Notamacropus eugenii: one gene and its partners. The protein of the gene in region 2 purifies or fractionates together with the protein of the main gene of each other region. This does not show direct contact. Links are inferred from orthologs where the notes say so. Each region holds a gene or a part of one and is shown on either strand. Other genes may lie near its edges. The genes, in order: EIF2B3, EIF2B1 and EIF2B5.

What was found.
Region 1: the proteins of EIF2B1 (region 2) and EIF2B3 purify together in Homo sapiens (affinity purification with mass spectrometry; 7 studies listed by BioGRID and IntAct, counting the BioPlex papers as one, with this or other methods). This does not show direct contact. The link is inferred for Notamacropus eugenii from reciprocal best matches to the Homo sapiens genes EIF2B1 and EIF2B3.
Region 3: the proteins of EIF2B1 (region 2) and EIF2B5 purify together in Homo sapiens (affinity purification with mass spectrometry; 7 studies listed by BioGRID and IntAct, counting the BioPlex papers as one, with this or other methods). This does not show direct contact. The link is inferred for Notamacropus eugenii from reciprocal best matches to the Homo sapiens genes EIF2B1 and EIF2B5.

What each region holds. Positions count from the first base shown.
Region 1 is NC_092873.1:506,429,914-506,439,925, reverse strand, and holds the start of EIF2B3 (translation initiation factor eIF2B subunit gamma), read left to right. Parts: upstream 1-5,581; 5' UTR 5,582-5,631; coding exon 5,632-5,646; intron 5,647-9,448; coding exon 9,449-9,605; intron 9,606-10,012. UniProt on the Homo sapiens protein: Acts as a component of the translation initiation factor 2B (eIF2B) complex, which catalyzes the exchange of GDP for GTP on the eukaryotic initiation factor 2 (eIF2) complex gamma subunit.
Region 2 is NC_092875.1:38,932,222-38,942,855, reverse strand, and holds the start of EIF2B1 (translation initiation factor eIF2B subunit alpha), read left to right. Parts: upstream 1-5,600; coding exon 5,601-5,868; intron 5,869-6,999; coding exon 7,000-7,101; intron 7,102-7,865; coding exon 7,866-8,002; intron 8,003-8,091; coding exon 8,092-8,208; intron 8,209-9,840; coding exon 9,841-9,957; intron 9,958-10,634. Other genes in the region: GTF2H3 (general transcription factor IIH subunit 3), read right to left, coding at 17-183, 1,137-1,243, 1,780-1,859, 5,590-5,602.
Region 3 is NC_092873.1:57,223,724-57,233,699, forward strand, and holds the start of EIF2B5 (translation initiation factor eIF2B subunit epsilon), read right to left. Parts: upstream 4,001-9,976; 5' UTR 3,738-4,000; coding exon 3,558-3,737; intron 2-3,557; coding exon 1-1. UniProt on the Homo sapiens protein: Acts as a component of the translation initiation factor 2B (eIF2B) complex, which catalyzes the exchange of GDP for GTP on eukaryotic initiation factor 2 (eIF2) gamma subunit.

The DNA of each region.
Region 1 (10,012 bases), on a different chromosome or scaffold from region 2:
CACTTTTGGATATGATCCCACTCATGTAACAGAAAAAGTATGTGGCAATTACTCTTCTGGCGGCTCAAGGAGAGTGCTACCTGCTAGACACCTTTGATAGTATACCTATTTGCTGGATAATTACTACGGTGACGTGCTTCCATCATGTAGACTTAAGGAAGGCAGTCCAGGAGCCACGTTGTATTACCTACACTACAGGGCTGTTGTAGTTCCCAGGTGTCACATAAAAGACGCACAATTTATGGGAAAAGCACTTTGTAAACAATAAGTCACCAAAAATACGAAATATTTTTATTTTTGGAGGCCTACGTTATACTGCCAACACTTAACAGTTCCAGGTAAATTAATTAAGAGCCATCAGTGTCTAGAAAACTCCAGAGTGAAAATACAAGTATATGGTGGGAAAGGTTCTGGACTCAGAGTGAGGCAGTCTCTGTAAACAATTTATGACTTTGGGCCAAGTGCTGACCAACCCTGGGCTTCCTTTTCATCTCTGCCACGCCCCCCCCCCCATTAGAATGTGAACCCGTAAGGGTGGGGTCCATGGTTTTGCCTTTCTTTGTATCCCTAACAAGTAAGAGCTTAACAGATGCTTGTTAACTGACTAGATGACCTCCAAGGGCTGGTTTAACTCCCAGGTTGGCTATGACTTCCAGCCCAGCTGACACATGTTCCCAATTCACAGCTGGAAACATCACTGAGTCCATGAGATTGCTTCATTTAGGACAGATCTACCATTCTGAGACAGCAGGGGAAGCCACTAACATCATTCACATGTGTTTACAGAAGATTATTCCACATCCAATTAATGAAGGTTTTCTTCCCCCAGTTCTCCTGGAAGCAGTAAACAAATACCAGGAATCTGGTTACAGCTTTGTGATGAATCAATCCATTAGGCCATTCCTGGGCTAGGGAACAAAACTGAAAACACCAGTGTTTGAGGACTGGCATTTGGTCGACAAATTGGGCTCCTTTCTCCACCCTTTTTTTTTTGATCCTTGATCCAACAATCTGAAAACAATGATTCCTTTCCCACTGACTAGAATTCAACCAACTGGGGCTTACAGTGGGATGATAGGGTGGGCTCCAGGTCATGGTAAGAGGTTAGGCCCACAACCAATGATCCTTGGGTCTACAAGAACTTTTTGGCTGCCACAGAGGTCCCTTGACAGGCAAAGAAAGCCCCCTTCCCAGCAACCTGGGAGAGAATAAGGAATATGAAATAATCATGTAAAGCAGAAATCTATAGAATCATTTCATTAATTGCCTGGAAAAGCCAATGAGTTTCACATTAATGCTAGCAGAGGTCTGGGACAGAGGCCAAGCTCAGCCCAGATCTAATCTGCCGGGCCAGCCAGGTGTGGAAGTAGATAGGGACTCTTTGGGGGCCCTTGACACCACAGCTTTGGGGGCCTTTCCAAGAGCCTGTAATGTTGAAAATAAAACAAAGCTACAGCACCATGGGGAAAATTCCCAAATGTAAAACTGGGCTCCTCATTTTACTATTTCATAAACACATATTATTTCATAGACAATGAGGCATCATGGAGATTGCTAGAGAGTTACCCTTAAGTCTGGCCTCCCTGGAACTGAGAGTTTAATTTCTTTTGGCTTCCCTTTCTCCTTGCTGTTCTCTTCTGTGGATTTTTTCTTTCTTTGACTTTTTTTAGTCAACTCTTTTCCCCTGCCCAAGTCTTCCTCCTCTCCTACCAGAAAAAGCCAACAAAAAACAAATCATATCAGACATTTAAGGTTTGTTGGGAAGGAAGATTGCTATCAAGTTTCATTATAAAGCACTACCGAAATGTGAGGTAGCATTCTTATTTTCCCATCACATATGACTCAAGATTAAGAAATGAGTCCATATGATGCAAAACGCCATCCACATCCAGAGAAACAACTATGGAATCCGAATGCAGAATGAAGCAGACTATTTTCTCTTTTGTTATGTTTTGTTTTGTTTTCTCTCATTCATTTTAAGTCTTCTATGCAACATGACTAATGTGAAAATGCGTTTAATAGGAATGTATGTGTGGAGTCCATATAAGATTGCATGCCATCTTGGGGAGCGAGGAGGAGAAAATTTGGCACTTATGGGAGTGATTGTTGAAAACTGAAGACATTAATAAATTTGGAGAAAAAAAGAAATGAGTCCAAGGGCTTGTGGGAAAAACTGAAGCCTCAATGTTTTATACCATGAACAATTTCTTTAAGAAGAAAATCCAGGTATTTATATCAATATACAAATATATCAGCACTTAATTGTAGTCTTCTGGGGGAGCAGGGGGAAGGAATGGGAAAAAAGAACAAAGTAAAAGGGACATAACAGAGAATAAGGAAGCAAAGAAAAGATGGATAGCTCTCAACGCAACGTGTAGTATTTATTATACAGGCTTTCTTGAAATGGAAATTTATTGCTATATGTTTTGAATTCTTTTTTACATTCTGCTGTGCATATGATATCCTCTCTTTTTCTTATTTTGTAATTAAGTTTCAGTAATAAAAATATAATTGGAAAATATTTAATACAGTAAATGAAAATGTAATAGAAAAAAAAGAAGAAAATCTAGGGCACTAGACATGGAGAATTGCTAAATAACCACAAAAAATGAAATTGACTATATCTTAACAAAAAGGAAAAGACTAGTTACCAATATGGAAACATTCTAAAATCAACTATGTGTGTGCAACCAAACTAGCCATTTGTTAGAGCCAAGTTCAGAATTGAGAATAAAATTGAGAAGATATAGTGTGTTGCAATACAGTTCCGACCTGACCTATTTGAATAAGCATATTGACAATGAAAAATGAGATTGGAATAAAGGAACAGAAATTGGCATAGATCATCAATGTTTCCTAAGGAAGTGTAATTGATTTATGCAAATCGATCACCACGATGAAGTGGCTCAATGATTTGAGAAACTGCTGCAGCAAGTAAACATTTTCTCCATCTCATCAAGAGGGAGCAGTTTGGTGGCAAAGTGGATAGAGCATTAACCCTGGAATCAAGAAGACCTGAGTTCAAATCTGGCCTCAGGCACTAGAATCTAGGCAAGTCACTTAACCCCGTTTGCCTCAGTTTCCTCATCTATAAAATGAGCTGGAGAAGCAAATGGCAAAGCACTCCAGGATCTTTGCCAAGAAAACCTCAAATGGGATCAGGAAAAATCAGACACGACTGAAAAAAACAACTGAACTATATATATCTATCAAGAAAATCCAGCCAACAGGGAAAAGACAGGTTAGAATATAAACTCATTGGAAAATCTTACAGAGGAGGACAGTAGAAGATTATGAATCATATCACCTAACAAAACAGAAGAAATGGAGGGAAAATGAGTCTCTAGAAAGCTTAGGGAGTGACCCAGTTCCTTAAGAACATTTGAAAAGTAGAAAAGATCTGTCTTTAACAAACTGTTCTCTTCATCAGGAATTGTGGAACCACCACATTTGGACTCTAACTTAGTCCTTGGTGTGCTACATACATAAAGAACGAGGAAGAGCATTACCACATCTGTTGTCTAGAGAGAAAGAAGAAAAGGACTGACAGGTACAAAGACATTTATACTGGCTCCTTGTGGTGGCCAAGAACTGAAAACGCAGGGGATGCCCATCAATTAGGGAATGGATGAAAAAGTTATGGTATATGAATGTGATAGAATATTATTTTGCCATGAGAAATAGTAAAGGCGAGGGTTTCAGAGAAACCTGGAATGATTTGTATAAATGGAGCTAGAGGGAAGGGGGCAGAACTAGAAGCGATACAGTAACAACATGGTAAAGAAAAGTATCTTGGGAAGACTTCAGGACTCTGAGCAGCTCCAGGAGACTGATGGCAAAGTCTTCTTCCCAGCATAGTCCTGACAGAGGTGATGGATTGTGGGGTGGGTGGAATGAGGCACACACACAGCTCGGGACAGGGCCATTCCACCAGCCCAATAAAGGCAGAATCCGGAGGGATCCTGGGAGCTTTGTACACACAGAGTGGACAAGAGGGGCTGGACAAGATGAGACCAAGGCTCTGCACTGGCCAGAGAGAACAGTGAGCAGGTAGGGAGGGGGCTGGACTGCCAGCTGCTAAGAAACCTTAGCCTAGTGAGACGCAGGCAGGCATTTAGGGGGTCCCCTGGTGGGAGCATGTGAGGAGACGCAAGCCGGGCTGCTGGAAACACACAAGGGTCCACTTGGCTGTCGGGGTGAATGTGTTGCCACCTGGTGGACAAATCGGTCAGTTGTTGGTAAAGTGATGCCAGGCATTTCTGAAGCCTTGCAAACAGGACACAACTGCTCACCCGAGGGCAGTGGCCCGATGGGTACCTGGGACAGCCGCCGAGCGCCCAGCAGGGGGTCACACGTCCTGACAAACAGCTTACTCTCGCTGTGTTGCTTTCGTGGAGTGTGGCTTGTTACTTGGGCCGGCTCTGGAAGCTAGGGGTGCGCGCGAGATGGAGCAAGGGGAGAGGATCCCCCTCGGTACCTGGCCCAGAGTGGGGGGTCAGCGAAGGCTGGAGGGGTGGGCCGGCTTGGCGCTGCTGCCCCGGGACTCAGAGGTTTCCCACAGCCGCAGTCTGGGGCCGGTCACCCCGAAAGCGGGGCGATTGCGCGGCTTGGGAGGGGCCAGGACCGGCCGGAGAAGGGGACAACCGAGCCCCGGCCTGGGAAGCCGGGAAGTTCCCCGGCACTGCCGCTGCTGTCCCCGGGCCGGCCCGGCTCGCCTTCTCGGCTGCTCGGCAGGTGGTGAGCTCGCTGTCGCCGCAGGGTGCCCTCGGCGGCTCTGCACCCGGCTCCGAGGATCCGCTCCCCCCGCCCTCTCCCGCCTCCCTCTCTGCCCTCTCCTCCTCTAGCCGCAGGGATTCAGGATCCTCTGTTCGGCGCTCGCTTATTTTGGGCTGGTCCTCTCTCCTGGCCCCGCCCCTGGCTGATCGATGCGGAGTAGGCTCTCTGCGCAAGCGCAGTAGCCTCGTGGTCGCCATTGGGCTGTCAGTTTGGCGTGTGACTGGAGGCTGAAGGAGAGGTGAAGCTGGGGGTGGCCTGGGTGCTGTCTGTGTGTGAGGGCTCAGAGAGCCCGGGAGAGGGCACGATCGGAGGGCCGGGGAGCCCCGGGTCCTGGCTGGGGGGAGGGTCAGTCTGGGGGGCACCAGGGTCTCTAGGGGAGGGTCAGTCCGTGCAGCAGCCCTGGGGTCCCTGACTGGGGGGAGGGTCAGTCTGGGGGGGGGGCACCAGGGTCTCTAGGGGAGGGTCAGTCCGTGCAGCAGCCCTGGGGTCCCTGACTGGGGGGAGGGTCAGTCTGGGGGGGGGCACCAGGGTCTCTAGGGGAGGGTCAGTCCGTGTGGCAGCCCCGGGATCCCTGACTGGGGGGAGGGTCAGTCTGGGGGGGGCACCACGGTCTCTAGGGGAGGGTCAGTCCGTGCAGCAGCCCTGGGGTCCCTGACTGGGGGGAGGGTCAGTCTGGGGGGCACCAGGGTCTCTGGCCTGGGGGGAGGGTCAGTCCGTGCAGCAGCCCTGGGGTCCCTGAATGGGTCCATGGATGTATAATCTGTGAAGTGAGTAGGCTTGGTGGTCCCTGGCCAGGTCGCCATCTGCCAGGCTTGTGGCAGCGCCGCCTGGGGTCTTCCTCTGCCCCACCTTCCAATGTCCAGTGTCCAGGTGAGTCTGTGGCCTCTGAAGCCCATGGCCGGAGTTGGTGGAGCTCATCTGAGCTCAGTAGCACCAAGTCTTGCAGTGGTGCAGCAACTGAGAGAGGTGGAGCACTTGGATGGGCAGCTCTGCCAGCCTACCCCAGAAACTTCCCCTTTGGGCAGTGTTGTATTTGCAGAGGAGCCATTGGCTGCCCAAGGCTCAGGCTGGCATGGTGGTACCCCGATCTTTGTGGGGAAATCAGGAAAAGTGGTGTTTTAGCTAGGCTTTGAAGGAAGCCAGGAGGCAGGAGGCAGAGATGAGGACTGCCTTCCAGGCATGGAGGATGCCAGGGAAAATGCAGAGGTTTGGGAGATGGAGCATCTTGTGGCAGAAACAACCAGGAGGCTAGTGCAGCTCCATGGGAGGGGAGGGGGTGGCGATGGGGCAGGTCATGAAGGTCTTTAAACGCCAAACAGGATATTATTTTTTGATCTTGGAGGTGAACTTCTGAAACCACTGGAGTTTATTGAGGGTGAGTGTGTTTCTGTGACATAGTCAGACTTGTGCTTTAGGAAGTTCACCCAGGTACCTGAGTAGAGGATGAACTGCCTTGGGGAATGTGGCAGGAAGACCCACCTGCAAGCTGTTGCAGCAATAGTCTAGGCATAAGAGAAGGAGAAAGCCTGTACCAGGTGGGGGTCAAGGTGAGGTGGGGCTGTGTGTGAAAGCATGGGAGGGGAGGAAGGAGTACATGTTGTTCAGAGACAGTAAGAAGGGAGGATAGATAGGCCTTGGTAACTAATTGGATGTGGCTCCTCAGTTGAGGACCTGGGTGACTGGAAAAATGGTGATGCCCTCGACTGTAAGGGGAAACTCAGAAAGAAGGAGGGATTTTGGGGAAAAATATAATGAGTTCAGTTTTGGTCATGTTGTGTTTAAGATGTTTATGGGACCTTTGTAGTTGGAGATATCCAATAGGCAGTCAAAGATGTGAGTCTGTAGTTCAGCCAGGAGGTTAGGTTTGATTAAGTAGATCTGAAAATCATTTGCATAGATGATACTTGAATTCATAAGGAGATGATGAGATCACTAAATAAAACAGTATAGAAGGAAAAGAGAAGAGGATCCCAGGACAAAGCCCTAAGAGATAGCCACTGTGAGACATCTCCACTTGAGTGAAGAACTAGCGAAGGAGACTGAGGGCTGGTCAGATAGGTAGGAGGAGAACCAGCAGAAAATGGTGGCCTGAAAACCCAGAGAAAGAGATTATCAAGGAGAAGAGGGTGAAGGACAGTGTCAGATGCTGGAGACAGGGAAAGAAGAATGAAGACTGAGAAAAGGCCATGGGGGAGGGGCAGAGCCAAGATGGTAGAGTTGGACATTAAGGGATTGGACAACTAGTTGGACAACTTTGCTGGCCGCCTGGGAACCTTATCATCATTAGGGCAGTTAGGAGGAGTCTACATAGAGTGAGGTTAGGGTTTTTAGTGGATTATGTTGGATCATCTCCCAAAAAAGGGGGGGGGGTGAGAAAAAGGGTTGCCCTGGGAGAAAGGAAAAGGGAAAAGTAGAGTGGGGAAAATTTTCTCACATAAAAGAGGCTTGGAAGAAACCTCACTTTCATCAGAACTGGTTCAAAGAGGGAAGAATATGTGTACATGCTCAGTTGTGTATAGAAATCTATCTCACCTAAAGGGGAAATAAGAGAAGGGGATAAGAGATATGGGAGAAGGGGAATGATAAAAGGGAGGTTGGGTTAAGAGAGGCAGTCAGAAGCAAAACAGACTTTTGAGAAGGGACAGGATAAAAAGATAGAGAAGGATAAATGGAAGAAAATAACATGGAGGGAAATACACAGTAATCATAATTGGGAATGTGAATGGGATGAGCTAACCCATAATGGAATCAGATAACAGAATTGGTTAGAAACCAGAATTCAGCAATATGTTATGTTCAAGAGACACATTTAAAACACACATGAAAGACATACAGAATTAAAGAAATAGGGCTGGAGCAGAATCTAATACACTTCAGCTGAAGTGAAAAAAGGTAAGGGTAGCTATGATGGTCTCAGACAAAGCGAAGCAAAAGTAGACCTACTTAAAAGAGAGGACCAGAGAAACTAGAGTTTTCTGAAAGGTACCATCGACAATGAAGTAACATAAAAAATTTTTACACCAAGTTTCTCCAATAAAGGCCTCATTTTTCAAGTATATGAAGAACTGAGCCATATGTATAAAAATAAGAGCCATTTCCCAATTGATAAATTGTCAAAGGATATGAGCAGGCAGTTTTCAGAAGAAGAAATCAAAGCACTCTATAATCATGTGAAAAGATAGTTCAAATCTCTATTAATTAGAGAAAGGCAAATTAAACAACTCTTAAGTACCACCTCACACCTATCAAAAATGACAAAGGCATGCTCTTTGATCCAGCAGTATCACTACTAGGTCTGTATCCCAGAGAGATCAGAGAAAAAGGAAAAGGACCCATATGTACAAAAATATTTATAGCAGCTCTTTTTGTGGTGGCAAAAGATTGAATATCGAGGACTGGCCCTCCAGTTGGGGAATGTCTGAACATATTGTATCATGATTGTGATGGAGTACTATAAGAAATGACAAGGAGGGAGGTGATTTCAGAAAAACATAGTAAGACCACTATGAAATAATGCAAAGTGAAGTGAGCAAAACCAGGAGAAATTGTGCACAGTACCAGCAGTGTTTATAAACACACACACACACACACACGTGTATATACACATATATATGTATATACACACATATATACACATACACACACACAAACTTGGCTACTCTAATCAATATAGTGTTCCAAGACAATTCCAAAGGATTCATGATGAAAAAATTCATCATGAAAAAAATCCTCTCTCCAGAGAAAGAATGATGAACTCTGAATACAAATTGAAGTATAATTTCCTTTTTTTTGCTTTGTTTTATGATATAGCTAATATGAAAGTATGTTTTGCATGATATTAATTAATATCATGATATAATTGATGCATTGTTTGTCTTCTCAGTGACTGAGAGAGGGGTAGGAAGGAGGGAGAGAATCTGCAACTCAAAATTTAGAAAGAAAATGCAAAAATCAAATTATAGATATATGTATATATGAGAAAAGACCATTGAACATCATTGATAATTGTAAAGAGAGCAGTTTCTGTTGAATGATGAGGTTGGAAAAGAGATTACAGAGTTAAGAAGAGAGTGAGAGAAAAGGAAATGGAGGCACCTATTGTAGACAGCCTTCTCAAACAGTGTAGTCACAAAACTGAGGGAAGATATGGGACCATACATAGCTAGCAGGGATGGACAGATCAAGTGTGGGTTTTTTGAGGATGCCTCTCAAACGCTGCAGCCAGGCCATGTGTTTGGGAGGCAACCTGACTCGGTGGGCCTGGCCTGATTGCTAAGGATCCTTCTTCCAGTTCTCAGGATGTCCCTTTACGCTGGAAAGGGCAAGTTGTCCTTGTACTTGCATCTACCTAAGATAGGGAGCCGCATTCCCCTTTTGGAGCAGAGGAAGCTGAGCCAGAGAGGTTAAGGGACTGGCCCAGGGTCTTGCAGCAGATCACACTCCTCTTCAGACACAGGATTCCAGCCCACATCTTCCCTGACTCTTGGATAGAACTTGAGAGCCCAGTGAATTCTATGTATGGTTTTAGTTCTTATTTCCCATACTGGGAGTTTCTGGTGGCACCCACTGATTTATAGATGGCTAAAAGGAAAATTGAGTGAGTGCATTCTGGTGTGCTTCAGATTTCATTACAAACTGGCCCTGTTGACTTCCTCTCTCTTTGTGTTTTCAGGTTGGAAACATGGAGTTTCAAGCAGTGGTGATGGCTGTGGGAGGGGGATCCCGGATGACAGACTTGACTTCCAGTGTTCCCAAACCCCTGCTCCCTGTTGGCAATAAACCTTTGATCTGGTACCCGCTGAACCTGTTGGAGCGCATTGGGTTTGAAGGTAAGCTTGCTGCCTACCATGAAATCCTGTCATTGGGCCCTACGTACTTTGGGCCCTGTAATTTGTCAGATTTACAAAGGGCTGTGAGCAGGGAGTGAAAGGAGAGAGTGGAGCTTCACCACCTGCTGAGTCAGAGGCTCCCCAGAGATGCCTCTGTGGCACCTAGTAAAGGAGCTTCAGGAAGGGGCTCTTGGAAGGCAGGAAATGCACTGTTTTCACCTCTTCAGAGACCAGCCTTAAACTTTTCTTGGCAAAAGTGACTCCCCTCCCCCTCCCCTCCATGGGAGAAGTGTAGAAGGCTTGGACAGCAAATGACAGTGGTCCAAGAGACTTAGATGTTGGAGGCAAAGGCAGAGTTTGAGGACTGAGGCCTCTGACTTCTTAGTGAGGGGTTGAGGGGCATGTAA
Region 2 (10,634 bases):
CCTGAACTCCACTTACTTTTGGTCATGAGATCTTTAATCTCTTCGGTAATTGCTTCGTTTGCTGCAGTTAATAACTCATATTTTCCATCCTTACTACCTGAAGGATTATACTCTGCAGAGCTGTTGCCAGGATCACCAAATAAATCTCCAAATTTCCAGTTCTTTCCAGGATACAAAAATCGACTTTAAAAAAAGAAAAACAAATGAACAAACAAATGTATTAAATAAAGCCTTTTCCGTTTAAATTCTGCAGCAAAAGTCAAGACATTATGAGTAAAAAAGAATTCAAATTATAAAAATATTTCATTAAAGAAAATGAAGAGAACTTTGAAAATAGAATTCTCTTAGAGGAACTACAGGAGGATTATTTGGGGTTTTCTGAAGCCCAGCAGGATGGTATGTATTGTCTACTCTGGTTCTGACCTGTGAACCCATGAGCTTAGGGGACTCCCAGTGAGGCAATTCCCTCTGCCAATTTCAGTCACCAATTCTTCTGCACCTTAGGGTCTCACAGGGTTGTTTGGGGCACTGAGTCATTACACAGGTTGGGTCAAGATAGGATGGGTCAACAGGTGGGATTGGAACTTGAAGGCTAGTTCTTTCTCTGCTCTTTCTCGATATTGCCTCATTTGTCACATTCTTTTCATTTTCTCAACTTACAAAGAGAGGGCTTCATACTTTAACTTACAGTAAAACACATGAGAACTAACTTTTCCCCTGCACTATGTGAGTTATACCAGTGGCAGCCAAAGCCTAGCCCCTGACCCACCACATGGGGCCATAGCTGGGCTCCTGATGACAATGACAATGCCTGTCATTTATTTAGCTCTGCAGGGTTTGCAAAGCATTTTACTTACAATGGCCTGGTCATAAAAATGTAATGGGAAAAACAAATACGAGGCTGAGAAACAAGAGTTGTTTTATTTGGGTGCTATTTTAATTAGCTGATATCACCTACTGAGATTTTACTATGTCATAATATAAGAAATAATATATTTTTCTTCCTAATAATATTGTGGATATTAATTCATTCATCCTTTTATGTATCCCATAATAGCAAAAGAATATTTGTTTAGAAAGCACACAAGCTGCAAAAATGTTAGGAAACAGTAAAATATTTATTATAATAACCATACCTCTCTTGAATATGACTTGCTATCACAGCAAGTTTGTTGGAACGATTCATAAACAAGTGAGAATTTCCCATCACCATGACAGCATCTAGGCATTTTGACAATGTGAACTGTTGAAAAGGAAGAAATTAGGAACGATGATGGGTCCAAATCCTAATAGTGGAATCTAAACAAATTTTATCTAAAATCTATACTTAAATTTAACAACATCTGTAATTAAATAACCAAGGAACATAAGTTTTTGCAGGAATGCTCAAGTAAAAATATTTGAAAATTTCTGAAAATTGTATTTTTCTTCTTTCTCTTACATGTGACTATTTCTACCCATTACACTGAATAAACACTAGATTCCTGCAAAGCGTACAGCACCACACCTGGAAAACAAATATAACGTATCTTGAGTGTTCATAGTTTAAGTTACTGCTATGTGTGCACTAAATGCTTGCTTACTGATTTTAAATATCATAACATTCACAATTTAAATTCTGCATATCTTTTTCCACAAACAAATTCAAAAGAGTATATTGAGTTAAATGACATTTCAAGAGTCAAAATTCCTTATCTTAATTTCAAAATGGCAATTCAGATATTCAATTAAATTAGTATTAAGATTTTAAAAAGTAATCCTCAGCATAATGAACTTTACCTGAGATTCTTTCAAAGCTTGTTTTCCCCACCAAATTGGGTTTGTATCAACTATGATAACTAGAAGGTTTAATTCATCATCTGAAATCACAAGAAACATGAGAAAGATCAAAAAACAGTTAACATTTCCTATTTCACCAGTTTAATCCACAGCTCAATTACAACCAACCTGCTTATAAATATCTATTGTTCTACAGAAATGCAGGTTAAGAGGGTCTACACAGGGGAGAGGGCCAAGATCTTCTAAAAACCAGGATGAGGTCAGCCTATAGAAAACGCCATCTCTTCTCTCCTTGTACACCCAACGGTCCAACGCACTTGATGCCTGGAATTGTTTTTGTCATGAAGGCTAAAAGCTAGGAAAACTTATTTACCCTAAAGTGTTAACAACTTACTGGGTTATCCAAGTCACCTTTAGAGTTTAAGAGGAGAGGGCAATGCTTTGGGGCATCTCAAAAGCAAATCAGTTAAGGTGGAAATCCTGGTATAAGTGAGAAAAGAGATTTAGGGAGTAGAACTGGCTATCAGCTAGCCTTGATAAGGAGTCAATCAAAGGCCTTAAGCTCAAACCACCTACACCCACCCACACCCACACCCTCACCTACACCCACACACACACCCCCCCACCTCCCCCACACACATCCTTACATATATTTTGTATCTACTGGTACTGGTGCCAAGGCACCAGATATGCTTAATAAATGTTCACCAAATGAAGAATCAATGCAGAGACTTACACAAACCTTTGCTGTTCTCTGCGTATGATGTCACATCCCCTGCCTCTGGGCTTCTGTGTGCCTCCTTCCTTCTTACCTATACCACAAAAAATCCCTCACTTCCTCCAGAAAGTCCTTTCCTGACCCCTTAAGTGTCAGTGTTCTTGCCCCACTGAAATGGTTTTCTATTTATTCTATATTCTGGTTACAGCTTTTCCTCAGGATGCAGGGTTAAAAAGCAAAGGATTCCCATGTTCTACTATAAAAAGTGATTAGGCTGATCACTCAGGATATGAAAGGGGAATTTCAGACAGTTTTTTCCTCACAGAAATAAAAAAATGTCAGAACCGGAAGGGGTCTTGGTGACCATCTGAGGCAGTGTGGTACAACATACGGAGAATTACTAGAAAAACCTGCTTTTGACTCCTGGCTCTGGCACTTAGTCGTGGTGGGAGGGGGGACTCCCACTTTTTAACCCCTCAGGGTCTCTAACTCATCTTCTGTAAAATAAAGCTGTTGTACATAACTCAACAAGTATTCAGCAGACTCCTAAATGCCAGGTATCTGTGCAAGGCACTGGGGAGACAAGGGCAAAAGGCAATGATTGCTACTCTCAAGTGCTTACAATCTACTGGGAGGAAGCAACACAGATGGAGAAATCAGAGAAGGAAGAAATCTAAAATAATTTTTTAGGGGGAGGCAAGGCAAGGGTACTAACAACTAGGGAGATCAGGAAAGACCTCCAAGTAATGGTGGCGTCCAGTTTGGCCCATGAAGTAAGTTAGGGATTCTACAAGGTAGAAGTTAGGAGGAAAAGCATTCAGCATCATGTAGAGGCAGGAGGTGGAAGGAGGAAAGTAGGGAACAAGAAGGTAATACAGCTGGTAACAATGCAGAATGTCTAAGAGAGAGTAACATTCCATGACTTGGTAAAGATAGGCTGGAGCCAGATGGTGAAGGGGTTTAAGGGCTAGACGACTAAATGATCTCCAAAGTCTCCTACAGATCCCTGCACCTAATCCAAGCATTTCATTTTACAGATGGGGAAACTGAGGACGAGAGGGAAAAAGGGCACTCTTGCTATCCTCAAAGACTCCTAGAGCTCTGTACACTCTCACTGGCCACCAAACACTCTAACTGACCTATGTTACCTTATTCTTTAACATTTACTTTTAAAATTTTCATCCACATTTTTATTTTAATCTAAATTCTCCCTCCCTCCAGCCTTTCCCCCATCCACTGAGAAGGCAAGCAACATAATACTCATTATACATGTGAAGTCATGCAAAACATTACATGTCACATTCTTCACAGCAGAACGTAAATTTCTTGAGGGCAAGGACTACTGATATTTCTTTTAAATTAAAAAACGTCTTTCCAATTCTAATTTTTAACATTTAAAAAAAATTTTGAGTTCCAAATTCTCTCTCCTTCTTTCCCCTCCCCACTCCTTGAGACAACAAGCAATTTGATATGGGTTATACATGGGCAGAGAAACTATTGGCCTGTGAATCACTGGTACCCAGCACAGTGTATTTCACATAGTAACCAACGTGGTGTAACGGAGGGAGTGCTGGGCTAGGAGCCAAGAAGGACTGAGTTTGAATCCTGCTTCTAACGCTTCCCTTATATGACCATAAGTAAGTCACTTTAACAGAGGAATGATGCCCAAAGAAGCTGCCTCATGGGGCTCTGCAAGCCTGAAAGTAGCTGTGACTTGAATGATTTTGTAAAATCCCAGAGTTGGAAAGGGCTGACTGTGGCTTCTGGGGTGCTTCCCAAACTGGGGTGCTCAGTGCTCCAGATATCCCCTGGGAGCATCACTCCAGCAGACCTGAACACCAGGGGCCCCTCAGCTGTCCTCCATCTAATACCAGCAGTCGCCTCAATTCAATGCACAATTGCCTAGATCTTTCAAAAGAAACAAGTACCAACTGTGCTGAGACCCTCAGTTCTTTCTCCTATGAGCTGCAGACTAGCCAAGCACTGCCTCCCCTCACCCAGCGATACATAAAAGCTACAGAGCTGGCAGGGAGCCTAGAGGTTTAGTCCAATCCCTCGCTCTTCACTTTATCAATGAAGAAATTGAAACCCAGGGAGTGGATCTTGCCCATCTGAAGTGACTTGCCCAAGGTCACCCAGTTATAGTAAGTTTCAGAGGTCGGATTTGAACCCACGTCCTGTGACTCCAGAACTGAGACAAATGGCAGTAAGTGACCTGCCCAGAGTCACACAGCTAGTAAGTATCTGAAGAGGTATTTAAACTGAGGTCTTCCTGGCTACAACTGTAACACTATTGTTCTCTTTGTTTCTTTTTATCCCTAATGCTTGGCAACATTGTAAACGTTTGATAAGTGCTCCTTCATTCATTCATCATCCTGCAGCCCATGCAGGAAAGGACCTTAGAAGTCCTCATTCCAACTCATAGAGTTAATGAGCATTTATTAAACTGCCGTGGGCCACAGCCCGTGCACAGCACTGGGGATACCCCTACCCCCCCCAAAAAAAGGCAAAACAAAAAACCAGACAGCCCCCAAACAGAACACATGGGGCGAGGGTGGGGGCGGGGCATCACCAGCCTCCTCAAAGAAGACGAGGTCGCTCAGAGAGGTCACAGGACCGGAGGGACCCTCGGACACCATCTAGTCCGGCGGGTGCTTCGGGTCAAAGGTCCTTGACCTTGCTTGACCTCAATTTAATTGGGTTTCTTTGGGCATTTTATGCATTTACAACTTGACTCTGGAAGGGGGTTCCTAGGCTTCCTCAGGCTGGCTGGCCCATCGGAGCCTCGGGTCTAGAGGAGGAAACTGAGGCTCCGAGAGGGGAAGGGTCTGGGAAGCGTCGGATGGAGGGGTTGAATCTAGGCCGGGGCTCTCTCCCTCACCTTACAGGGGAGGAAACTGAGGCCCAGGAGGGGGACGAAAGGCCTGGCCCGAGCTTCCCTAGGTAGCTAAGCACCAAGAGGCGGGATTTGCACCTAAGTCTCGACCCTTCCCCTCCACAGCTCTGGGCCCCTCCAGGCGCTCTCCCCGCCGCAGCCCCCGGTCCGCTCCGCCGGCTCCGGGGCTTCCCTGTTTGCCCCAGGGCGCGCTCACCTTCGGAGATCATGGCGAACCTCCTGCGCTTCAGCGGAGAGCCGCGGGAGCCCCGCGGCCACCGTACTGTCCTGGCCTTCTGCGCAGGCGCGAGCTGTCGAAGGAAGTTTGGCCTCTACCGGCCGCCGTACACGCGGGCTGCTGGGAAATTGGGCCCGGCCCCGCCGTGGGCGGGCCGTGCGTGCCTCGGCCTGGACTATCAGTCACCGGGCCGGTCGCCCGGGATAGCTGTGGGGAAAGGCGGACGGCCTCGTGGCCGCGGCGCCATGGACGACTCGGGTAATGCGGGGCGGGCTCGCGGGACTCGGGGCGAAGGGGGCTGGAACCCGGGACTCCCCAGAGCGAAGGAGGGTGGGCTAGACCTGGAGGCCGGAAGACCTGGGTGTGAATCCCGCCCCGGACCTTTCCCCATTCGTAGAAAGGAGAGCACGCTGGATTTGGGCCTCAGTTTCCCCTTTTGTAGGATGAAGAGGTTGGACCGGCGGGGTTTAAGCTCTAAATCTGTGGAGGATCTGGGTCCAACCCCGGCCTCCCTGGGCCTCAGTTTACTCATCTGTAAAAGGGGTGGCCCAGGAAGTCCCTTCCATCTGCTGTATGTGCGCCTACACGCATGTACACGTGTGTATATGTACACGTGCATCCATGTGGGCGTGTGTCTGTGTACATAAGCGTGTGTATACAGATGTCCACGCATGCGTGCACATTCCGTCCCTGCACCTTCGCCGAGAGACCTTTCCAGTTCCCTCTGCCCATCACCCCAGTCTGCCCCCGCTGCGCCTTGTTTGTGCGCCACTGTTTGCACGCCGGACCGGGAGCTCCCGGGCTCCCTTTGGGCTCCTTCGCACTTAGGAGGCGCCTCTGAGTTGGGCTCTGCGTGCCGGGCACCGCCCTGGGCGCTAGCTGGCACCAGGAGTACCTTCGCAGGCACATCCAGAATAGGCACAGGGTCATTTCGGAGAGCAGGGAGGCTTCGTAATTCAGGAGTGATGACTCCGAGAGATTGGGAAAGGCTGCTGGATTGGGGGCCGAAGCCCCTCCGCCAAATGGGACCTCCCGACTGTCGGGCACTTTGCTTTTTCTGGGTCTCCGTTTCCTTAAGTGTGAGATAAAGTATTGCCCTCAGGGTACGAGCCTGTGGTGGCTTCCCCCGGGCACTCTAGGAATGCCTGGTATTACAGTAAGAGCGCTGGATCTGGAGTCACCCATCTGAATTCCTATACTCTTCTCCTCCGAAGTTTCTCTTCATTTTGACCTCCATCTGTAAAATGAGGGGTTTGTATTTCCTTACCTCTAACCCTGGGACTCACCCTAGGGGCTGAGGGTCCTCAGGCATCACAGGTGATGCTGTAGGTGATACAGCCTGCCGAATGAAACTTGACGTATTTCTTCCCATGGTCCCCTCCTTCCCAGATTTGATTGAGTACTTTAATTCCCAAATGAAAGAAGATCCTGATGTGGCTTCTGCTGTGGCCGCCATCCGCACCTTACTTGAGTTCTTAAAGAGAGACCAAGGTAAGACGATCTCAGTCAGCAGTTCCCCAAATTCCTTTCTCCAGGAAAAAAATGTTGGAAAGCCTTATGTGTCTGTGAGTTTGCATAGCCACATGCCCCTTCACTCTTGACTGTTCTCAATTTAATTTTGACCCAATTCCCAGTTATAATCAACTAACATTCAATAATTAAATACCTACTATTCACGGAGCATTATGCCAGGCTCTTAATAAGAAAGGAGACCTTGACTTTGTACTTATTTTCTTAGATAAAATGCATAACCTTTTCCATAGAATAGTGCTTTGAGAGCTCATTTGCAGAATAGAGATATACTGTAAATTTATTTGAGCATTTTCTGTTCCAAAACGTATTTAGCTCAAATCATTGTACTAGCAGAACAGATTTTTATTCTCAGATAAAGAAATTGGGTTCATGTACTTAGTAACCCCTTCAGCTTAATTCTCTGAGATGTGCCAATGACATAGACTTGACTGATTTCATAGAATCTCAGGTTACTTTTGCAAGGTGAGAGTAGCAGAATATTGTGGAAAGAACATTTGGAATGTCACTTCTTCTCAGGCTGTCAGCTTTCTCTTTCGTATAGTAAGAGATTAGATGCCTTCTAAGATTCCTTCCAACCCTAAATCCTAAAATACGGAGGAAGCTGTCGACTAAGAAATCCCTCTCTATTTCAGAGATCTTTGTTTGTAACATAATTGTCCTGTAAGATAAAAGGATGAATCAGTTTCCAAACGCAAGTTTTATTGTACTATTGAACTTTGCAGGAGGAACAATTCAGGGTTTGAGAGCAAATCTCACAAATGCCATTAAAATCCTGTGCAGCGTAGATTCTTCTGTGGCAGTCTCCTCGGGTGGAGAGCTCTTCCTTCGGTTCATCAGTCTCACCTCCCTGGAGTATTCAGTGAGTTCATGTCCTGTCCAGACTGCTTTTGTGCTTCTTTACGTGGCTCTGGACAGCCTCTACCTTGATTTCTCTTTCACTTTTTCTAGGATTACTTAAAGTGTAAAACAATCATGATTGAGCGAGGAGAGCTCTTTCTCAGGAGGATCTCACTTTCCAGAAGTAAAATTGCCGACCTGTGCCATACTTTCATTAAAGATGGAGCTGTAAGTGGAATCATGAGTTATCAGTGCTATGTGGGAGAAAATGTTGTAACGACTTATGTAATGAGGTATTGGGAAGGGCTTTGTGGCTCTGGGACTCAGGAGTAACAATTTCAGTTGGTGTTTTACTAGGATAATCAAACTTTGATGGTGCTTCCCTTAACCAGTATACATCCATGTCATCATATGTGCACATACCAGTTGTCTAATTACCTTCTGTCTCTTAAATACCTCCCTCTGAGTTTATCCCCTTTGAAGTACATTAGTAATTACTGAAACAATTCAAGGGCCATGGGTCGACTTGTACATCATCTCACCTGACCAGAAACGAGATCATTGACTTCCTCACCATCTCTCTGTTTCATCGAACACACACAGTCATGTTAAGTTATATAAGCCTTTCATTTATTAAATTCATTTTAGCATAGTTCATACATATCTGTATGTTCCTCTGCTTTGGTTTAATGATGTGTCCCGGTAAAATTCCTGTCCCTTCCTCAAGGTAGGGAGCATTTCATTTTTGTCCTTAGATTCCTGGCTCCTGACACAATATTTTCCACATAGTTGGTGCTTAATAAATGGTTGTTAAGTTCAACAAACATTTATAAGTTACTTTTATGTGTATGGCATGGCACTAGATCCTGGGGTTACAGAGGTCTGGGGCCCCATCAGTCTAACCAGCTTTGTGCGGCCTTGTTCATTTAACTCCTTAAGTTTTCGTTCCTCCTTCATTTTCTAAGAGGCCTGTTGACACCTAGCAGAGGTGGACCAAATAAAGCCTTTGGTCAGTGAACAGTGGAGGCTCTAACTAGGGTCACTCGGTCAGGGTTAGAATTAGAAGGGACTTTAGTAGTCATCTAGACCAACCCCCACATTTTCCAGATGAGGAAACTGAGGTGCAGAGGCGAAAAGTAATTTACCCAAGGTCTCACAGACTAAGATGCCGATCTGGGATTCAATTCCAGGATCACTCCAGGTACAGATTCTTAGGCTCATAGAGCTAGAAGATGTGTGGGCTCTAGTGAGGGCCACAGAGTCATGTACGGAGTCAGAAAAGACATCAGTAGTCTTCCAAACCAGTGATGTCAAATGGAAATAGAAAACATGTTGACATAGAAAACCACAATTTAACATTATGTTATGCTGTATTCTAGGTTTTGTTAAACTTTTCCCAATTATGTTTTACCTGCTTCCTTCCAAGTGACATCTCTGATCTAGATCAACCCCTTTATTTTACAGAGGAAAATGAGTCAAGTGACTTGCCTATGGTCACATGGGTGGCAGAGCATGAAACTAGAACTTGGACTACAAATTCACTGTTCTTTTCACTGTACCCACTGCCCCTTTCTGAAAGGGGAGGGGGGTGGTGGAACAAGGCAAGAGGAGACCCATCAATTTGTGGATTGTAGGATCTTTTCCAACCTCTTTCTTTCCCCCCTGGGCTGTCACCTTCATGCTTTACACACAAGGCTGATTTAGGAAAAGGATTATTTATTGGGAAGTATTGTACCATTGTGGCAAATGGAATCTAGATTACATCAGAATATCATGAGGCAACATGACCAGCTTTGTACCAGTTTTCATTTAATTAAAAGATGAAAACTCATTAAGCATTAAAATCTCTCCATTTGATAGAGGATATTAACTCATGCCTACTCACGAGTGGTGCTCCGAGTCCTGGAGAGAGCAGCTGCAGCCAAGAAACGCTTCAGCGTGTATGTCACCGAGTCCCAGCCTGACTTGTCTGGGCAAGTATCTTTCTAGTCTGTCATTTTAATGGCTGTTACTTTCACGTGTGAACCACATGTTGTCATCCATGTTGTTACTGGCCATGCAGGGCCCCTCTGTACCCCGGATGCACTGGGAGCAAAGGGCTGGGCTTTGGGGTGTGGCCTGAAGAATTTCCTCAGGGTTGCTTTGCAAGTGACCAAGAGATAGTAAGCTGTGGTAGAGAAAGTAAAGCTGTCCTTTTTGAGGGGAAAACCATCTTCTGTCACTGTTTATTTTTTATGAATACGTTGTTTTGGACACATTAGCCAACTCTTTGACAAATATCAGCCTCTGGCTTTTCCCATTAAAGATGAGGCAGCATCATCGCCTAACAGAGCAGTTGCAAGTGACATTCCATGTCACTTTTCAGGTTTTTGGTTTACTGATTGTTAGCACAAAGGATGTTCATTCCAACTGCTCTCATTGGAACCAGTATGGTCTGTCGTGTTTGACCAGAGTGGTGTTGTCCCTTGGTGCTGTGCAGCCATCGTGTAAAGCTGGTTTGCTTGGACCTGCTTTCTCACGCTGCATCAGCTCATACAGTTCTTCCTATGTTTCTCTGAATCATGGGCATTCATGTTGATATACCAGTTTGTTCTATTAGTTCTTCTTACTGAAACTTATCCATGAACAATGATGTCAACTATTCTGGTAACAGA
Region 3 (9,976 bases), on a different chromosome or scaffold from region 2:
CCTGAGGAGCGGAGAAGAGAAAGCCTTAGTTGGGGGGTAGCTCGTAAATACCATCTTCCTCTCCTCAGCTCTCACTAAGGTTTCCAGTCCCCTGAAAAGGCCCTGAGCTGAATGCCAGCTTCTTGTGGGAAGGCCAGAACAAAGCAGCTGCTTATTCAGAAGCATCTGGGATCCCCTCTCTCTATTCTGCGTCCAGGAACTGCCTCTCCTGAAACTCTGCAGACCAACTTCTAGGGAGCAAGCAGGGAAGCTTGGAGTAATTCATCTTCCAACATGCCTTCCAGGTCACCTCAGGGAAGTGGGGTGGGGTGGGGGGAGGACATTTTCTCTTGTCCTTCTACCACAATCTGTCACACAAAAGCAGAACCCAAGGCCTCAATCCTTTCAAGCTTCCTTCCTTGTCCTCGATTGCCAGGAACATCCCGAAGAGGTACAGTGGTGCAGTGGGCAGTGATCGCTTTGGATCCAGGAAGTCATTCCTGGGTTCATGCCCGGCCTTTGCCCAAGCTGGTGGCCCAGGTGACCCAGCTGGCTAGGCAAAGAGCCAGAGGGAGGCCCCTTCCCAAGGATTTCTCCAGCCATATGAGAAGACTGTGGAACTGGCCATTCCTAGATTCCAGTTCAAATCCCAGCCTGCCTACCCACTTGGCCCTGAGCAGCACTGCACTGTGCTGGGGCTCAGTTTCCTCATCTACAAAAGGAGGTGTTGGATAAGAGGCTGTTCCCATCCTCTCCACCTTTCTCTGTGATCCATCATCACAGATCCAGACCAAAACAAAACAAAATAAACCCATTCAATGCTGTGAAGGGTAACATAGGAGTTGGGAGCCAAGGCTGCGGTCACCTACTTCTGGTCTAAGAGCTCCCTGCAGGCACTAAGGGCCAACCAGCCCCAAGCACTGGCCCTGGAACATTTCCCAACTGTCCAGCAGAAGGGTTGAGGGAATAGGAAATGATCTTTAATAGAGGGCTCCAGCAGCTGGGCCTCAGAAGCTAAGGTCAATTTAACCCTCTCACCCGTGAGAACACACAGTTCCTATATGTGCTCAGAATTATAACCATTTCTCCTGCAGCAGAATGAGATTTTGTTTTCCTTCACCTTACAGGGGTGAAGAACCTGTGGCCTTTAAAGCCACACGTGGCCTCCCCGGTCCTCAAGTGCAATCCTTTAACTGAATCCAAATTTCACAGAACAAATCCCCTTCATAAAAGGATTTGTTCTGTAAAACTTGGACTCTGTCAAAAGGCCACACTTGAGGACCTGGAGGGTCATATATGGCCTGAAGGCCACAGGTTCCCTACCCCTGACAGTTTCCCCCTGCTGATGAACAGAGAAGCATGGAGGAATCTATATGAACTGACAAAAAATGAAGTCAACAGAGCCAGCAAACTCTATCCAATGACTTCAACAATGTAATGGAAAGAACAGTACAACTGACTCACGAGTTCTGAAATGATGAAAGCCAAGGGAGGCACTAAGGAAGAGACAGAAGATACCCCTCCGCCTCTTGCCTGGTAGAGGCAGGAGACCATGGTGGGGAACACCTAACACAGCGGCAGACTTTTCCCATACGGGAGCTGCTTTTGCTGAACTTTTTTATTATATAAGAGATGTCTCCCAGGCAAGGGACAGACACAGCTGGACATGTGAATAATATTTTAAAAAATCAATTAAAATTTATTTTACAAAGCTTCTTTTTGGAAACTAGTAAAAGCCACTAGGACTTGTTCCTCCTGGGGCCAGAAAGCACCTGAACTAGCTCCTCATTCCTCCCTCCTTCATCCTTGGGAGTGAAAAGAGACTAGACTTTCCACACTAGCCATACATTCACAGTGGGATTGGAGGCAAGCTGCTTGGTCAATAGGACCCCCCTGTTCTCTCATTTGTAAAACAATTTGTGACCCCCTCTACGGTCTTGCTTTGTAAACTGGTCACCACCAGAAAAAGGTGAACCATCCATCTTTTCGTTCATCTTTGTGCTAGAAGTCCAGCTTCCCCATGTGAGATTGGGGGGTGAGAAGAGGGCCAAGGGCTGTCTTCAGATGATCCCAAATCTCTCCCACCCCCAGAGTTTCCAAGTGTCCCCAAGGCTGCAGATCCTTCAGGTAAGGGAATCGGTTTCTTGGTCCCTAGCCACCTGCTGTCAGGAAGCCTGTCCCTCTCCCTGACAATCAGATGTCAATATAATGCCCCTGGGTAAGGCTCAGCCTAGGAGCGGATATGGGAGCAGTGAGTGCATGTATCAGCAGATCTGATCAGGCCTGGCTGAGCCTCTTCTGGGGATGTGTGCACAGAGTGTCTATGTACATAGTACAGAGGAGGTAAAAGTGCTCCCCTACGTCCCCTGACCAGGGCGGTTTGAGAACATGTCCATAGATACCATATGGAACTAGCAGGGGCACACCCCCACCCCCTTTCACCTGACTCTGGGTGCCCACCTCAATCTCTGGGGTACTGCAGCAAGGAGCTGCCCCTCTCTGCTCCTTGGGATCCTCTTCTCCCCTGTGCAGGGGAGAGGGGGCTCTCCTCCCTTCCAGTACTCTGCCGCAGGGTCACCCCACTCCCAGCTCCTTTAAGATCCCTGGTCTCTCACCAATGCATTCCACAAGTGCCCTGCTCCCACCCCCGTGCTCTCCAGGTATTCCTCACTACGTTCTCAGCGTTCCCCGGGTCTCCCCGCCCTGCGCTCCCGGGTCTCCCCGCTCCGCGCTCCGGGGTCTCCCCCGTTCCGCGCTCCGCGGTCTCCCCCGCTCCGCGCTCCGGGGTCTCCCCGCCCTGCGCTCCGCGGTCTCCCCCGCTCTGCGCTCCGGGGTCTCCCCGCCCTGCGCTCCCGGGTCTCCCCGCCCTGCGCTCCGCGGTCTCCCCCGCTCTGCGCTCCGCGGTCTCCCCCGCTCCGCGCTCCGGGGTCTCCCCGCCCTGCGCTCCGCGGTCTCCCCCGCTCTGCGCTCCGCGGTCTCCCCCGCTCTGCGCTCCGCGGTCTCCCCCGCTCCGCGCTCCGGGGTCTCCCTGCCCTGCGCTCCCGGGTCTCCCCCGTTCCGCGCTCCGCGGTCTCCCCGCCCTGCGCTCCGGGGTCTCCCTGCCCTGCGCTCCCGGGTCTCCCCCGCTCTGCGCTCCGGGGTCTCCCCGCCCTGCGCTCCGCGGTCTCCCCCGCTCTGCGCTCCGGGGTCTCCCCGCCCTGCGCTCCCGGGTCTCCCCGCCCTGCGCTCCGCGGTCTCCCCCGCTCCGCGCTCCGCGGTCTCCCCCGCTCCGCGCTCCGGGGTCTCCCCGCCCTGCGCTCCGCGGTCTCCCCCGCTCTGCGCTCCGCGGTCTCCCCCGCTCTGCGCTCCGCGGTCTCCCCCGCTCTGCGCTCCGCGGTCTCCCCCGCTCCGCGCTCCGGGGTCTCCCTGCCCTGCGCTCCCGGGTCTCCCCCGTTCCGCGCTCCGCGGTCTCCCCGCCCTGCGCTCCGGGGTCTCCCTGCCCTGCGCTCCCGGGTCTCCCCCGTTCCGCGCTCCGCGGTCTCCCCGCCCTGCGCTTTCCGCTCTCCGGGGTCTCCCCTCTCTCCCTCCCCAGCGCTCACCCGGGGCCGGTCCTTGGAGATGGGGAAGAAGCGGCGGTTGAAGCTATCCGCGACCAGCACGGCCTGCAGGGGCGGCGGCGCCTCCTCTTCGGCTCCCCGGCCCGCCGCCCCGCTGCCGCCCGGCCCACCACCGCCGCCGCCTCGCTTGCCTCCCCGGGAGGCTGCCGCCGTAGCCGCCATCTTCGCCAACTGTTGCCGCTTCCGTGCGGCCGGTCGCTTCCACCGTGGTCCAGAAGGGACAAAAAGGAGCCGGGAGCACGAGCGCGAAGCACTACCAAAGGTAAAGCGCGTGTGCTAGCGAGTGTGAACCTTGGGGAGCAGGGAGAGAGGGGTCAAGCAGTCACGCGCATGCGCATTCCGGCCGGCAGCCAGGCCGGCCAGCCTCCGGGGAGAAGGGTGGGGCGGGGCTACACTCTGCAGTCCCGACAAGGAAAAGCCGAAGTGCGCGTGCGCACTGCAGTACAGGGCTTGTGGATGGGTCCGAAGCAGCATTCTGGGAATTGTAGTCTTTTGACCTTCACCTGGTCATTTACTTCTTCAACCCACAAGCCGAGAAGATGCATGGCTCATGTGCATGGCTCTGGAGGAGAGAGTGAGGCAAACCCCGCTTCGCTTTGATGCAGTTCACACACGAACGTGACGTCATTGACCCTCTTCAAAAATTAAGGACCTACAGCAATAACTTTGTGTGTGTGTGTGTGTGTGTGTGTGTGTGTGTGTGTATGGCAGGCTCCACAGTACGGGACCCAGAGATAGTAGTGACTTCCCTTTCTATTTCCATACAACAACCCTGGAAGGGTGATATTATTCCCATTTTACAGGGGCTCAGGGAGCAGAAATTTAGAACTGGAAGAGACTTAAAGGTGAGATTCCAGCTCAACCTTTTCATTTGATGCACAGGGAAACTGGGGGAGTGATATGTTTAAGGTTGTACAGGTATTACGCTGCAGAATTTGAACTCAAGCCCTAAGATTCCAGTCTTTCCCTAGGAACACACCCTGGCCTTCTGTCTCTATACCACGGCCATAATCTATCTGATTATACAAATCAATCAATAAGCATTTATTAAGCTCCTATTACATGCAGGGCACCATGCCAAGTTCTTAGGATAAAAGTATAGAGAGTGTACTCCACTTTTTTCAGAAAGCTTATAGTCTAGGATCAGGGGTAGGGAATGTGTGACCCTCTAGATCCCCAAGTGCAATCCTTTGACTGAATCCAAACTTCAAAGGACAAATCCCCTTAATAAAAGGATTTGCTCTATAAAATTCTGACTCAGTCTTGAAAGGCCACTCCTGGTCTAGGTAATTTGGAGGAGATGGGGAGAAAATTGTACTGAAGAAGGAAGACAGGAAAATAGTTCCCTGGATGGATCTCAGGAATGATCAGAAAATAGGGCAGACTGGAAGAGTCTGGAAGAACATCAGAGACTAGAGAGACATCTAAGCTGATGCTTTAGAAATATAAACCAGTAAAAGGCCAAGAAAAAAGCCTGCAGTCCAGATCCTCCACAGAGGGGTTATGGAAGGACCAGAGTAGGAACTGCTCAGGATAAGAAGGGGGTGGGGATATGGGTTATAATCTTCACTTGTGACTGAAATGCCCACATGGATGAGGCCATGGATTTCTGGAAGCATGGAAAGTGATAGCGTTTGGGAAGCCAAACTACAGTTACAATCTGTTGGGAGGCTGAGCCTTAAATCTCATCAGGATATAAAGCAATCTGTAGCGCTGCCAAATAGGCATCCCACATTTCACCTCGGTTCTGCACTCTCTCCCTCAAAGTCTGGCCAGGGACCTGGGCTCCTTCTCTTATCAGTCTTCTGTAATGCAGAAACTTCCCTTGTTACCACTCAGCTCTATTCAATGGACTGAAGACCTATAGACTTTTCACTTAAAGAAAGATATTATTACCTATTCAGGAAGGGAAACATGAGAGAGAAAAGGCAGCCAGGGGCCCAGAAGCAAACTTGCTTGGTTGAGTCTAGACTCTATGTGGGAGTGGCTAAAGGGCAGGGACAGGGAGGTGGGGAGAGTACCACGGATTGCTCATTCCCTCACTAAAAGTCTATAGACAGACTATCACTACTTGTCACAGGGGAGAGAAAAAGGAAGAGAATGAGTCAGAAGCTACCTCTACTTTTTAACTGACATGGCACCCAAGGCCTACCTCATCCCCATCCCCACCCTTACCGACCTTTCATATCCTACCAAACCACAAACTCCTTTCAGTGCTGAGTTCCCACAAGGAGTCACAGGCGTGGTTGCACCCAAGCAGGAAGGACAACTTTATGCATATTCCATGAGAAGCCCTTATTATACCTTTAATGAAGCTCTCTGGTGTGGCTTTGAGTATCCATACAGAGAGGCAAGGGTGCTAATATTCCCTGGAGGAAGTCTCAGGATGGGAGAATCCCAGCAGATTTGCGTCTGGACACAGAAATTTTGTCAGAAGGCAGAACTTTGAAAAGAAAGATGGGAGCAAAGCTAAGCAGGACTTGCCTGGAGAAGGTACTGGGCATTCCTATATTACTCTGGGTGGAGAGCCAGAGCTGGAGTCAGTCAGTAAGCATTTATTAAGTATCTACTGTGTGCCAATCAAGTTGGTCTTGGTTCTGACACCTCATGGGCAACCCATTGTCCCTGGAAGCCCTCATCTTTGAGGGCAGAGAGATGAACTCCCTCCCCAAACTTCCACTTAAGAAGCACCCGCTCCACCAGTCATTTCTTTATTTCCTACCTCTTTGCTCTTATTTGGACTTTTCCATCATACTCCCTCACCACATACCTCCTTCTCTCCTCCAATTCAATTTCCTTTTGTGTGTTGTCTTAAGGTCTTTGAAGGTAGGGAGTGTCTAACTTTTTTCTTTTTTTGTGTGTGTTCATCCTTCGTTGCCGAAGAAGACCATGCCATCAGAGAAATAACGACATGACTTGCACTTGACTTTGTTTTGAGTGAGGGAGGTCTGGGCAGGTCACCAGCCTCACTTCTCCAGAGCCATCTGAATCCAATGACCAGATAGTCATCAGGATGACTAGAGATGACCCAGGATGAGGCAACTGGGGTTAAGTGACTTGCCCAAGGTCACCCAGCTAGTAAGTGTCAAGTGTCTGAGGTGAGATTTGAACTCAGGTCCTCCTGACTCCTGCACTGGTGCTCTATCCACTGCACCACCTAGCTGTCCCCTAAAGTGAAAGTCACATAGTGTCAGAAGGAGGATTTGAACCCATGACTTTTGACTCTAGAGCCAGTTCCTTTCTCCTGCCCCACACTGAGGAAGAGATTTCTTTTTTTGTACAATTTTTGGAACACAGTAGACTTAGTAAATGTTTGTTGATACACTGAGTGCCAGGTGCTAAGTGTTAGCCATCCAATGAAAGGAAAAAGATAGTCCCTGCTCCTAATTAGCTCAAAGTCTATTGGGGAGAACTGGAGCCCTCTGATGTCGTAGGAGATGATCTACTACACTGAACATGTTACAAGCTACAGTTGTCACATATAGACCCTGAAGGAAGGAAACAAGCATTTATTAAATGCCTACTATGTACTAAGCAGTGCATGAAATACTTTACAGATATCTCATTTGATCCCTATAACAACCTGGGAGGTAGCTACACTTATTATCCCCATTTTACATTTGAAGAAACTGAGGCAAAAGGAGATTAAGTGACTTGCCTGGGGTCACACAGCTAGTAAGTATCTGAGATCAGATCTGAAGGTCTTTCTGACCTTGAGAAAGATTCTGTTGCCTCTTTATTTTTTTTATCCACCTTGCTATTCTGTCCTAACTAAATAATCGGCTATTTGACTTAGACTCTTCCATGGTCTGTAAATAGAATGTCCTGCATTGGTGGGAGTCTAGATCATGATGATTTACATAATGAGTTATTTCAAACACCTCACACAGAAACTCAGAAGAATAGAAAAGGTTTGTAGAGCAAGAATTTTAACAGGACCTCAGGGCATTCATAGGATTATAAGACCACAGATTTAAAATTAGAAGAAATCTTAGAAATCACCTGGTCCAATCCTCTCACTTTACAGAAGAGGAAACTGAGTCCAGGAGGGGAAATTTCTTACATAAGGTTACACAATGAGTTAAGTAGCATATCCAGGATTAAAACTCAGATCTTTTATCTCTAAATTCAGTAGTCTCTTTACTACAGTAAATAGTGCTACTTTATCAGGGGCTTCAAGGAGGAGGTGGTTTTAAGGTCTTGAAGGATACTGGAAGGGTCCTTTTTTAAAAGAGTATTTTTTTCAATTATATGTGAAGACAATTTTTAACATTCATTTTTACAAAATATTGAATTCCAAATTTTTCTTTCCCCCTGCCTCCACTCCCTTCTTCCTATAACAGTAAGCAATTTGATATAGCTTATATATGGGCAGTCATGTAAAACATTTCCATATTATTTATAGTTGTGAAAGAAGAAACATACCAAAAGGGAAAAAACCATGAAAAAAAATAAAGTTAAAATAACATGCTTTGATCTGTATTTAGAGTTCATTCAGTTCTTTCTCTGGATGTAGATAGAATTTTCTGCCATGAGTCCTCTGTAGTTCTCTTTGATCATTCCATTGATGAGAAAAGCTAAGTCATTCATAGCTGATCATCCCACAGTGTTGCTGTTACTGTGTATAATGTTCTGATTCTCCTTATTTCACTTTGCATCAGTTTCCAGGTTTTTCTGAAATCTACCTGCTCATCACTTCATATAGCATAATGGTATTTCATTACATTAATATACTACAGATTATTCAGAACCAATTGATGGGCATCCCCTCAATTTCCAATTCTTAGCCACCATAAAGAGAGCTGCTATAAGTATTTGTGTACAAGTAGGTCCTTTTCCTTTTTTATTTTTTATCTCTGGAATATAGATATAGTAGTGGTATTGCTGGATCAAAGGATATGCAAGGTTTGATTGCCCTTTAGGCATAGTTCCAAACTGCTCTCCAGAATGGTTGGATCAGTTCACAACTCCACCAACAGTGTATTAGTGCCCCAATTTCCCCACATCCTCTTCAAGGTTTATCATTTTCCTTTTCTGTCCTATTAGACAATCTGATAGATGTGAGGTGGTACCTCAGAGTTGTTTTAATTTGCATTTCTCCAGTCAAAAGTGATTTAGAGCATTTCTTCATATGATTATAGATAGCTTTGGTTTCTTCATTTGAAAACTTCATATCCTTTGACAATCTATCAACTGGGGAATGACTTGTATTCTTATAAATTTGACTCAGTTTTCTATATATTTAAGAAATGAGGCCTTTATCAGAGACACTTGCTGTAAATATAGTTTCCTAGCTTTCTGCTCTCCTTCTAATCTTGGTTGCATTGGTTTCATTTGTGTGAAAACTTTCAATTTAATAAAGTCAATATTATTTATTTGGCATTTCATCATGCCCTCCATGTCTTGTTTGGTCAGAAATTCTTCCCTTCTCCATAGATCTGACAAGGAATAGTTCCTTGCTCTCCTAATTTGCTTATGGTATCATCTTTTATGTCTGAATCATGTATCTACTTTGACCTTATCTTAGTATATGGCATAAGATGTTGGTCTATACCTAGTTTCTGCCATATTGTTTTCCTGGCAATTTTTGTCAAGTAATGAGTTCTGGGGTCTTTGGGTTTATCAAACACTAGGTTACTAAGGTCATTTACTACTACGTCTTGTATATCTAATCTATTCCACTGATCCACCACTCTATTTCATAGCCAGTACCAGATATAATAATATAATTTGCTTTGTAATATAGTTTGAGATCTGGTACTGCTAAGCCACCTTCCTTCATATTTCTTTTGATTAATTCCCTTAATATTCTTCACCTTTCTTCTTCCAGATGAATTTTGTATTTTTGTTCTAGCTCTATAAAATAAATTTTAGGTAGTTTGATTGATTTGACACTGAACAAGTAAATTAGTTTAGGTAGAATTGTCATTTTTATTACATTGACTTGACCTACCCATTATCAGTTGATATTTTTCCAGTTGTTTAGATCTGACTTTATTTGTATGAAAAGTGTTTTGTGATTGTGTTCATATAGTTCGTATAGTTGTCTTGTCAGGCAGACTCCTAAATATCTTATATTGTTCACAGTTATTTGAAATGAAATTTCTCTTTCTATTTCTTGCTGCTGGGCTTTGTTGGTAATATACAGAAATACTGATAATTCATGTGCTTTTATTTAACATCTTACAACTTTGCTAAAGTTGTTAATTATTTCAACTAGTTTTTTTCAACTATTTGATTCTCTAGGATTCTCCAAGTATACCATCGTATTCTCTTCAAAGAGAAATAGTTTTGTTTCCTCGTTGCGTATTCTAATTCCTTAACTTTCTTTTTCTTCTCTTATTGTTATAGCTAACATTTCTAGCATAATATTGTATAATAGTGGGGAATCCTTGCTTCAC